Linked DNA regions of Mytilus edulis. The protein of the gene in region 3 interacts with the protein of the main gene of each other region in a pairwise test. Links are inferred from orthologs where the notes say so. Each region holds a gene or a part of one and is shown on either strand. Other genes may lie near its edges. The genes, in order: ras-related protein Rap-1b, GTPase KRas-like and serine/threonine-protein kinase B-raf-like.

The links.
Region 1: the proteins of serine/threonine-protein kinase B-raf-like (region 3) and ras-related protein Rap-1b interact in a two-hybrid assay, tested with the Drosophila melanogaster proteins (2 studies listed by BioGRID). The link is inferred for Mytilus edulis from reciprocal best matches to the Drosophila melanogaster genes Raf and Rap1.
Region 2: the proteins of serine/threonine-protein kinase B-raf-like (region 3) and GTPase KRas-like interact in a two-hybrid assay, tested with the Drosophila melanogaster proteins (2 studies listed by BioGRID). The link is inferred for Mytilus edulis from reciprocal best matches to the Drosophila melanogaster genes Raf and Ras85D.

What each region holds. Positions count from the first base shown.
Region 1 is NC_092344.1:96,278,319-96,282,160, reverse strand, and holds the start of ras-related protein Rap-1b, read right to left. Parts: upstream 2,833-3,842; 5' UTR 2,629-2,832; intron 2,498-2,628; exon of another isoform or gene 2,256-2,497; intron 1,114-2,255; 5' UTR 1,101-1,113; coding exon 1,044-1,100; intron 1-1,043. UniProt on the Drosophila melanogaster protein: Ras proteins bind GDP/GTP and possess intrinsic GTPase activity. Plays a role in photoreceptor cell determination.
Region 2 is NC_092350.1:17,274,306-17,278,147, reverse strand, and holds the start of GTPase KRas-like, read left to right. Parts: upstream 1-1,422; 5' UTR 1,423-1,564; coding exon 1,565-1,595; intron 1,596-3,842. UniProt on the Drosophila melanogaster protein: Ras proteins bind GDP/GTP and possess intrinsic GTPase activity. Plays a role in eye development by regulating cell growth, survival of postmitotic ommatidial cells and differentiation of photoreceptor cells.
Region 3 is NC_092344.1:73,763,602-73,767,201, forward strand, and holds the start of serine/threonine-protein kinase B-raf-like, read right to left. Parts: upstream 2,209-3,600; 5' UTR 2,161-2,208; coding exon 2,056-2,160; intron 1-2,055.

The DNA.
Region 1 (3,842 bases), about 23 Mb from region 3:
TACCGCCAACAGCATGAACAGTTGAACTTATTATATAATAGACTACTGACGTAGTTGTACTACGTATTGATGACAAACAATATTCCTCCAACTTTTGCCATTTACGAAATCTAAACTACTTGTCTTAAGAGATTTTCGGCGATTAAATATTTCATAGAATTATTCTTTGACATAATGATCTTAGCCAAAAGCACAGGCCATAATAAACTACACAAGGATTCCTAATGAGCCCTACTTCCTATGTGCAACTTCAATACTTTTGGGTGATTCGACAATCATTTACGGTTTTTCTGGTCATATTTTTGTATTCCAGAATTTAAAGTATTAAAAAAGTATTCAATTAGTAACATGTATATATAACATAGTAGCCAGCTAGATAATACCAATGGCAAGTATTTCAGCATCTATTGGGTATAACACAAATCTAGGGTGCTCGCATAATGCAGCTTAACTGCATAAAAATGGTTGACATTTTGCTGGACATATCAAGCTACAAAAAAATGTATTTGTAGCTTCAAATACTCGTCAATTATGCACACCTTTATGACGTCATTTACCAGATAGAGGGGATTGCCTGAATCCCTGCACTATTAACATTCATTAAGTGTCTTAGTGATCATCATTGTACTGGATGAACTAGAAATAATGTTTCTTCAGTCAGAAGATACTTTAATGACAGCAGTGCTGATTGTCAATTTATTATGAGAATTCAATTTGCTGAATAATTCGTGCAATATATAGCTTAATAATTTTTCCACCACTGGCTCAACATGGGAACAGTAATGATGCCCCTAAACGCATGAACAATGTTCACTAAATATTAAGTTTTTGACGGAAATGTATGATGTATCGAACTCGAACATACCTATTGACAGAGACGTCACAAGTGAAAAAAATATTTCTTCTAAAAAAATAATAACAAGAAGGATTATTTTTCTTTTTTTGATACATGTACATAACATTTTAAATTATAACTGTATCAACATGATCAAGCATTGGACATTTAAAACCTGCATTAATAACTGAATAGTGAGCATATTTACCAGAGCACTTTTACCAACACCACCACTACCAAGCACAACCAGTTTATATTCCCTCATTTTCTGTTGGTATCTGAAATAAGATTGAAAAAAAAACATCATAGTCTTACAATGTATATACATTATACAGTAACATGTAGATGTACATGATTATTAGGCATGGTTAACAAATCTCATTCATTGTGTTCTAATATCAAAGTATAAAAAATACAAATTAAGCCTGTCATTAGGTCTTTTCTAGAATTTAAAGGCAAAATTCTATTACTAAGCAAAATATTGATAATTCAAAGTGTTAGATGTGCAATGTATGTCAACAACACTGTCATGATTGTAACCTAAAAAGTCTTAATGTAACCATAACCAAGTGCCGGTTACTATCCTAAAACTTTTTTTGTACCTACGGTACATGTAAGGGTTATTGAGTCCAAGTATTCTCCCCTGGCCTTACAGTACAAATGGTATTATCTATTCATTACATTTTCAACTTAACAATACTAAGTCCCTTACTCGTTAAAAATTCATTGTTTCTTTTGTAATGGAACAAAATTATGACTTGATCCATGAGGGGGGGGGGGGGGGGGGGGGGGACTGGAGGGATCCCAAAATCCAGGGCTTAAAAAGTTATAAAAACATCAAATCCTGAGGTCCGGAATATAATTTAATTTAAATCCCAACATCCCGAGATTCAAAAAAAGAATTCCTGGATCCTGAAATCCGAGCTTAAAAACACCCGACCCTGGAGTCCTGATAAAGGTCCTATCCGCCCTCATCCATAACTTGTCATGGTTTAAATCATTTAGACACAGTGCAAACCTAAAGTCGTTAAGGGACTCAAAATAAGGATATTTGAAATAATTGCCAATAAGACATTTATCCAAGGACCACGGTTCTCAATATGAATTTTTGGCCATGTTGAGTCCAACAGTATTATAAATCAAAATAATTATTTTCTTTGGTTTTAACATAAGATCGTGATTAAAAACTTATTCGAAACAAAACCTTAATAAAATGTGAAACAGACACAAGGTTCAACAAGTTGGGTTTTAGTCTGGTGTGATCAGTCATTGTGTCGGAAAGGGGACAAAAGAGAATGGGAGCAAAACATGATTTTGGGCTAACAGACCATAATTAAATAGAAGATGTAGCTTTTCATCTCATTTTGCTAACAGTTTGAAATAAATACCATCGAAAAATGAAAACATTTACATTGCATACCTCAACTTCAAGCAGGTTACAATGACCTATTTGAAGGATTGTACCCAGCCTGCAATCTGGGATGGGACTGAGTCATCAACCTGATATTTTCCGAGAGATATATAATTATTTTCATCACTAATAGAGAGAAACATATTTTTGAAAAGTGTCAAAATATTTAATCATAAGAAGACGGATGATTGATCATAAGAAGACGGATGATTGATCATAAGGTACATCGACACAAAGTTGTTTTCGTCACATTTGGCATTTCCTGCTGAAGTTGAACCATATTCCGAGGGGAATCCATCGCTAAAACTTTAAAGCTTTAACAAAAAAAGTGAACGTCCGGTCAAAAGTGTGTGGACGACGGTTGGACATTATGAATTCTTACCAAAAAAGTTATTTCCCTCAAAGATATAACTGTGAACAACAGTTTGTTATGACGTTTGGCCCCTTTATATTGATAATGGCGGATTTACTTCTAAATTTGGAATAGAGTCAATGCGCATGACAAATAGTAGTCAACTCCCAACTTCCGAGTACCCGAATAATCCAGTCGTTACATTCCGCGCACAGACACTAACCGTAAGAGGGCGCAGGAATTACAAGTACTAAAAGCACTGTTAGGTCGTTAAATTACTGATTAGTAAGACATATCCTGAATGTTTAACAATAAGACTTAATGTTTAAGGTTAGAAAGTAAATAATAGAAATAAGTGGAACATTCAATGATACTATATTCCTGCTGAGACTACTATAACTGTGTTATAGTAGTCTCAGATTCCTGGTTCTTTTTACTTTTTGTTCGTTTCCGTATTAATAAACTTTATATCATATTCTTTTAATATTAAATCGACCTCATTGCACTCACTGCCTCTTACCATAGTTATATCCTACATTGCTCATATTATCAATTTATTATTTGTGTATTACCAGAATAATATATATGTCTCTGGTATTACTTATTGTGTATTTCACTAATGTTTATATAATTATTGTATTATCATCGGATGTTTTTGTGTCTTGCCCGACAAGGGCCCATGATTGGTTTAATAAAATAATGTCTACTGTCTAATGTCTATTCATTTGGATGTTTTTCTTAGTTTTATCAGAAACATACATTATATGTCCCAGTGGCGGGTCCAAGGGGGGGGGGGGGTTCCGGGGGTTGGAACCCCCCTTTTTTTTGGCCGATCAATGCATTTGAATGGGAGCATATAGTTGGAACCCCCCCCCCTTTTTAAAATGGCTGGATCCGGGCCTGTACAGTCCCTGGTTTTATGTAATTCTAAGATGTTGCAGCTATGTATAAATATCAAGACCAAACTAGAGTTATCTCTCTTTAGATCTGTGAATGATTAAAATGATAAAAATAAATTGATTGGTCAGTTTCATAAGCAATTATTTGGTTTAACAATTAAACAACATGTCTGCTATTAAAGGGGCACAATGAGCACCCATGTGAATGCCTTAATTCTACCTGTCGATAAACCATATTGTCAAAACGTACAAAGTCAACTACGGCAGAAAATTCGTATCACAGTTCCAGTAATAAGTCTTTCTGACATATTTCCATTTTTCATTTCAAAAGAAGCTGTGGTGTAT
Region 2 (3,842 bases), on a different chromosome or scaffold from region 3:
TTGAGGTCATTGACGTATAAAGCTAACGTTTATACGTATAGCTTTATCTGTGTAGTAAAATAGCTGATTGCAGTATAAAATAAAAATAATGAACATTTATGAATTACAATTAATATATATTTATTTTTATTCCTTAGAAATATTTTTTTTTGTTGGGGCCGGATCGACTTTACATATGGGCTGGATCGACGTGGGACGGATAGACTTGGGCCGGATCGACGTGGGGACGGATCGGTGAAAATACGGCCATATTTGTCCATTTGTTATGATGAACCTTAAGTTGCTGCAACTGAATTTCCCTTTTTTATCCTTTTTGTTATTTTTGAATAATTTGTAGAACCAAGGATTTGTATAGTTTTACAACTATATACAAATCCTTGGTACAACTAAATAGTAAAATTAGTAAAAACAAGGATTTGTATAGTAACTATACAAATCCTTGGTAAAAACAAAACCGAAGCATTTTCTCATTTCCATTTCACAATTTATGTTGACTCAAGATGGGAATCGTTGAGAAACCTTTGTTTCAACCCTTGTAGATTTATATTAATAAATATCAAAAGAAAATTAAAACGTAAAAGTTGAGAATTCCCGCTTTAAGAGGACAATAGTTGTACTCTGGACATTATGGACGCGGGAAGAAGTGTGACGCCCACCATTTTGATTTCCTTCTTTCAAGGACATGATGTTGCAGTGTTTATACGTCATTTTTTCTGTTGTTTTCAGAAAAAAAATACAAGATCAAAACGAGAAAAGTGAAACAGCTAATCGGCATCACTCGGAATACCTACATAAAGTGGAGTCCGAAAGCCACGCACTTTGAAATTTTGAGTTATCTTCTTTCTGGGGTCTTCAGTCACGGAAAGCACCGAGGCAGCCCGGCCAAAGAAATCTTTGTTGGAAAGATGCTTGTATTGCATGTAAACCACCAAAAGACCAAGCGCAAGAATGATAAAGACCTAAAAATTGGGGCACCTTGCAGGGATCACAGTTTTACAATTAATTAATAATTTTTTGTCAGAGTTATCTCCATAAATTATAATGCAATAGTTATGAGAAAAAACACCAGAAAACTCATGCATTTTGTACTTCAGTTTTGATAGTAATTCAAAGCTTCAGGAATAACAACGAATCAACAAGTGAGACTACCTGTTACTATTTTTAGTCAAAATAATTTCTATTTATAGAAAGGTAACCCCCTTGAAAACCGTTGAACAGAATGCTGTTGAATTCCATTTTTGTTTAGATGAATAAACTTGATTTTTCAAAGGTTTAAATTTATAGTCATAATAAATATAACCAGATCTAGAAAACAGATTAATGAATATTCTTGCATTTTAAGAAAGACGACAAGATTTAATTTCGGAAATGACAAATATCCCTTACGTTTCTAAATAATTTTGGGGTATATATAATGCGACTGACAAAAATTGGGTCATCAATGCCTGTTTAGTGCCTCGCTTCAAAGAACGGAGGGTCACTGGGTTAAAAATCTTTGTGTGTGGTGAACATTTGTAATATTTGTGCATCTTATTTTGAGTGGATTTATGAACTGGTCTTTCAAATGACAGAATACAAGCTTGTGGTTGTTGGAGGTTTGTATTTTTAATAAATTTAAGGGACGAAATGGGTGACAAACTGATACTTGATGTGTGTCAGCTGTTAAATTTTTGTTGTATCTCAGAAGACACCAAAACAGACATCGCCCATGAGAGCATTGTTTACTTCGCAATAAAATTCATGACTAATTTTCCTCACATTATCAGTAGAGGGACTAAATCATTTCGAGCATTTAGTGATAGGGAAATTACAATATCTTGATCAAATGTTGTAGAAGCAACACATATTAACCATTGTCATGATGACAAAACATTTACACTGAGTATTATAAGAATGCAACCTGTTGAATATTATGCATATATTTCACAAAAAATTGTACTACCAGAAGACATACAAAAGATATATGGGCAGGAATTCACTAATGCTACTTTAGTGTGACATTGTAAGAAAAAAATAAAAATCATTATAAGCTTCTAAATTTTTTACAAATTATTGCTACAAATGGTGTCCTTCTATTTGTAACCAAAAAAATCATTTTTAAACTTGCGTCAGTTTGAAATCAAAGCAAATAACGTATTTGGAGCATGTAACATAGACACTTTTTCCAAATTGAGATTAATGATTCCTTAACTTATTCAACATTTAATATCATATATATTGATCACAAAACCTTGTCTATCATCAAAACTCTAAAATGTATATTTTCATTTCTTTCAGAAATTTTGTGAAAACAAGTTTCCTCTTCTTTTCTGTCAATGTTACATGCAATGTTTAAGAGATAAATACAGTAAGAATCATTTTCTTTCTGAACATGTAAAGGCTCTTTTTCATTGTGTTACCCTCACATTAAAAAATTGTATTAATATTTTTGCAATTATCTCATTTCTGTCATAAAATAGTGACTTAAATGTTGCATGTAACGTGGACACAAAAAATATGAATAATGAACCATGCCAGAATTGACCTTATAAGATATAAAAAGCCTCCAAACAACCATCTGAATGTAAATTATACAATTATACTGCCACATTTCTCATATATGATATTATTTAAATAGTGGTTAATACCAAAACCATTCACCTAAATTTCAGACAGCAGACATATTTTTTTTTAACTATACCAGTAGTTATGCTTGTTCATGGTGGTACACTATGGAAGGCTAAATTAAAAGATATTCAAATGTCAAAATAACCAGAAAAATAAAATTAAGACCAAAGATAGATCAATTGATGAAGGAGTCATCCAAAATTTCCACAACATGAAACATTTTTATATCAGTAAGTAAGCAACCTGTTTTTTTTATGCACGGGGATGAGATTGATAAGAAGACAACCACACAACCATCAGCATCCACAAAGTTTCTCACTCAATAACTAATACTGACAAAGTAAGGGTACAAAATGATTACATGTATCCCTCATTCATGTGACACAGTTACACTTAAAACTAATAGTATGAAAAACCAAGACAAAATATGGACAAATCTACGAGAGGTTGATACAGCTGCATTTATTGAGAATCTTATTTTCAATCGATTACATAACTTCTATAAAGAACAATTTGGGTTTCATTTTTGAGGTTGTTGTCTGATAGACATATTACCCAATATCTCGTTTTATTTCTGCTGGTTAATCTTACATTTATGATAACTTTTTAAGGTTTAAACAATAAATTTTATTTCAAACATTCAAAACAAGTTTCTTGTTTCTTGTTTCCTGTCTCCAACATCTTCAACTATCTATCTGAAAAAAAGAAAAAAACAAAACAACAATTAATCTACCCTCAATCAGAACCAAAATCCATGCATAGATTATAAAATTTACAATAATATAGAAACTCTCAAATATCTTGCTTCGATTTTTCAATGCCATTTCATCTTGAAAACTTGTTACCTAAACTACAGGAAGCCACAATTTAAAGGGCTCCATAATGACCAGTGTAAAACAATTCAGAAGAGAAAACCAACACCCACTAGACCATAGTCCTGTTTTCATCTTTATTTGGCCTTCTTTTACTTTTTTGTTTCATTAGCGTCACTGAAGAGTCTTTTGTAAACGAAAAGCGTTTCTGGCCTACAAAATTTCAATTCTGGTATCCATGATGAGTTTATTATTATTATTTTGAAATCAGAAGGAGCCTGAACCTCTTATAATGCAAAGATATTCTGGAATGTCATTATTGGCATAACAATTAAAAAAAAATGTTACAAATTGAATTCCTCATGATTTCTATAATGAGCATCAGTAAATACACATGATACATGTGTTGACTGGTGATTGAAA
Region 3 (3,600 bases):
TTGATTGTTTCAAAGTTGCTTAACTCTGAGACTATTAATTATATTATGGCCCAGCTTAATAACTTTTATATTTTTTTATGAGAAACACTGAATTTCATACACAAGATAGATTTGAATTAAATTGTAATTGATATATTATAATTTCTTTACATTTTTTAAAATAAAAAAATATTTTTTTTAGTGCTAGAGTAGATATTAAATATTTAGTTGGCAGTTCTCACAAGAACCTTAGTAAAACTTAAACAACTTTTAATTTGAAATGTTACTTTTATTGTATAATCAGATATGAATTGAATAATATAAAAAGAACATTATTTACATATGACCCTTTATACTATAGTAAAATCCAAACAGTGTAGCGCACTGCACGAAAGAGCACTTCTCTTTCAAATCTCTTTCAAATCTCACCACTTCTCCCTATCAATTTCAAAAAAAGAAGTCACTTCTCTCTATAATTCTGAAGTAGTGTGAGCCCTGACAATAAGAAATTTCTTCAGATATTATCAATTTGCAGTAAATATTCATGTACATGTACATGTATTTACTTTAAAACTTCTAAAGATATTAAATATTATTGCTAATTGCTGTGCGTTTAAAAAGGGGAATGCTGATTGCGTAAGTCGTCAATATTAGCATTTATCGCACCGCGGGTAAATGATCACGTTGTGATTGGTTTAACGCCGTCACAAGCCCCTATGAGACCGTAGGGGGCTTTTCATTTCATAGGGGGTTCATGACGCGTTAATGGTGACTTCATCTATTAATGTTGTTTTGTTTCATCTTTTATTTTTCAACAATACGCAGCAGAAAAAGTCCAGCTTGCGATAAATTCGTTATTCAGTTAACTACTTACCCCATACGGATCCATAGAGGTTGTATAAAATCTATAGGGGACTCGGCCTCCGGCCTCACCCCCTATGGATTTTACTAACCCTCTATGGATCCGTAGGGGGTCAGTAGCGAACCAAATAACTTATAGCGTTCCACTTGAAAACTTCTTCTTTATAACTGGATTAAAAACATTTATTTTTTTAATCTAAATTTCAATTTCCTTTAAATGTAATTAAATCGTGCAATCAGTAGTCTATCTTGTTCTCCTGTCAGGTGTGTCGATTTACCTGTTAAAGTGACTAGTGATCTTTATTTAATGATGGCAGGGATCTTTTGACGGTGGCAGGGATCTCTTGACAGTTGCGGAGAGATATTTTAACGCCTGCCATCATAAAACAGGTCATGGAGATCCCCAACTCTACTGTCCATAATATTAATATTTATTTGATTAAAGTACTAGTAGAGAGGAAAAATTCAAAAGAACAGACTCTTCAGGCGAACAAACTCAGTGTGAACGGACCTGATACCATAAGGTATCACCTGCCTCACATGTAACTAATTTATGATCAACAAATCCAAATCAGACATTGAGACAAGACAGTTGATTTGGTCTTTAAAGAACAAAGCAACTAAGTGATAGGTGCCGTTAAGTCATGTGAGTGCAAAATGTCATCTCAAATGATGAGATTGATAAATTAACTTAAAATATTTTATCAAAAAATCTCTTGACCAATTTTACTAGACAGCTTCTATGCACTTGCTACATACAACGCTTCCTTCGTCTTTGAGTTATGTTCTGTACATCAGCATTTGCATAGCTGGTAATTAACGGACAAAAACGTTATATTTTATCTGAATGAACTTTTAACAGTTAATCAAGGTGTTAATAGGTACAATCATTATGATGTGACAGCCTTTAAAGTTAAAAAAATATTGGCTAGGTTGACAGACATGACTGAAAAGGCAGCAATAACATATCTGGGTATTTATCGCAGATTTAAGTTGAATGACTTGTGTATTTCAAGTCTTGTAAATGTACCTCTGACCACATTTTCTACTTTCAACTACGTCTCATGCACATTAGCAAAACAAAAATGTTTTTACTTGTCAACAAATGGAAACCAAATTATGGCTGATGTCGTGAGAAAATTACAATAAATTCAACATTCATGTCATGTATATTTCAATATTTGAGCGGACAATGGGTTTATTTGTTATTTCTACCTGGTCTAATAAATTAGCTATGTCATATGCGTCATGTCTAGGCGGTGTATTTGGTAGATCTTGAATATCCCCATTCGGCATTGTCACTGGTTGAACGACCGCCATTTTGCCTCTTTAAGAGGCTCTCACGTGACCTATCTTACATTATCGTATATTCACGCGATAATTTGACGAGGAATTTCTAGACAGTACAAGTCAGTCGATATTTTTACGCATATGATTAGTCAGACAGTTGTGTAATATTTATCAATAGACCTTACTGTATCAAGTTTTGTCATCTATTATTTTTTTCGGATGACTTTCGCATAACGCCTGAACTGAAAAAAAGCCTTGAGCTTCCTTTGTCCGGCACATTTAAATTTAAGGGGGGCTTGTAGTATAGTGAAATACAAATCCTTGATACATTGAATAATGAAAAAAATGAGCAAACAAAAAAATTAGAAATAGAGAATAACGGAGGAAAATAAAAAACTAAGGTGATACAATACTGATTAAAAAAATGACGAATGTATACAGGAAGAAATTATCCGTTTTTAATAGACTTAATACTAGATCTACACTCGAGGATCTACAGAACTTAACATTCTTAAGAATTTTATTTTTTACAGAATACTGAAGAGTTATTTTAAAAAATAAGTTTTGTACGTCTTAAAAATAAAGAACAGAAAAATAAAGAACCCCATTCATTATCTCATTTAAATGAATCCATCAATTACATTTAAGCGGTCTTAACTTCAGCCGTACTATATCTCCGTCTTACAATTATAATTAGGCATTACTGTACGTGACATTAACTATTCACATGAAACATTTTAAAAATACCCTTTATCAGAGAAAATTCTCTTTTTATGTTGTTCAAGGTATTATGAATTTTGTACTATATAGTATTTATACATTTTGCCTATATTTTCTATTGAAGAGAGGCGGAAGAACCTATTTGGGAATGGCTGGAATCGAACCAACTTATTTCGGGAATTCGGGAATACCAAATTAATTCAACCGTTGAGAATTCGGAATACAATATCAATTAAATCATAATGCGGGAACGGACACTTTATTTTCACGGGAAGGCCGGGACCCCCCCCCCCCTCAGAAATTAAAAAAAACAACAAAAAATGATAAAACAAATTAAAAAATGAAAAACAAGCTGTATGTATCAGAATGATTATTATTGCAAGTAACAGTTCCGCTAATTAGCTCTTGTAATTTTCGGTATATTAGTCAAACAAAAAAATGCATCTTAAAAAAATAGACATCGAATAATTTGAATCTAATAAAGACTTGTAGATCTTGGCATGGTATATAAATGAATATACTCGTTTAAAACCTGTCAGATTTTCTCTATTTAAATTGCCAAAAAAAAAAACACAAACAACTGCCGGCAGTTTGACCCGTATGTTCTAATGTAAAACAAATCACGGTTGTTTATGAATTTAACTTTCGATTTCAGAATACAAAAGACGAAAGAGATTAAAAGAGCAATGTGGGGAATATCACATATGTTTCAGTACAACTCGAAATTCAATAGGACCAAGTGCAACCCTG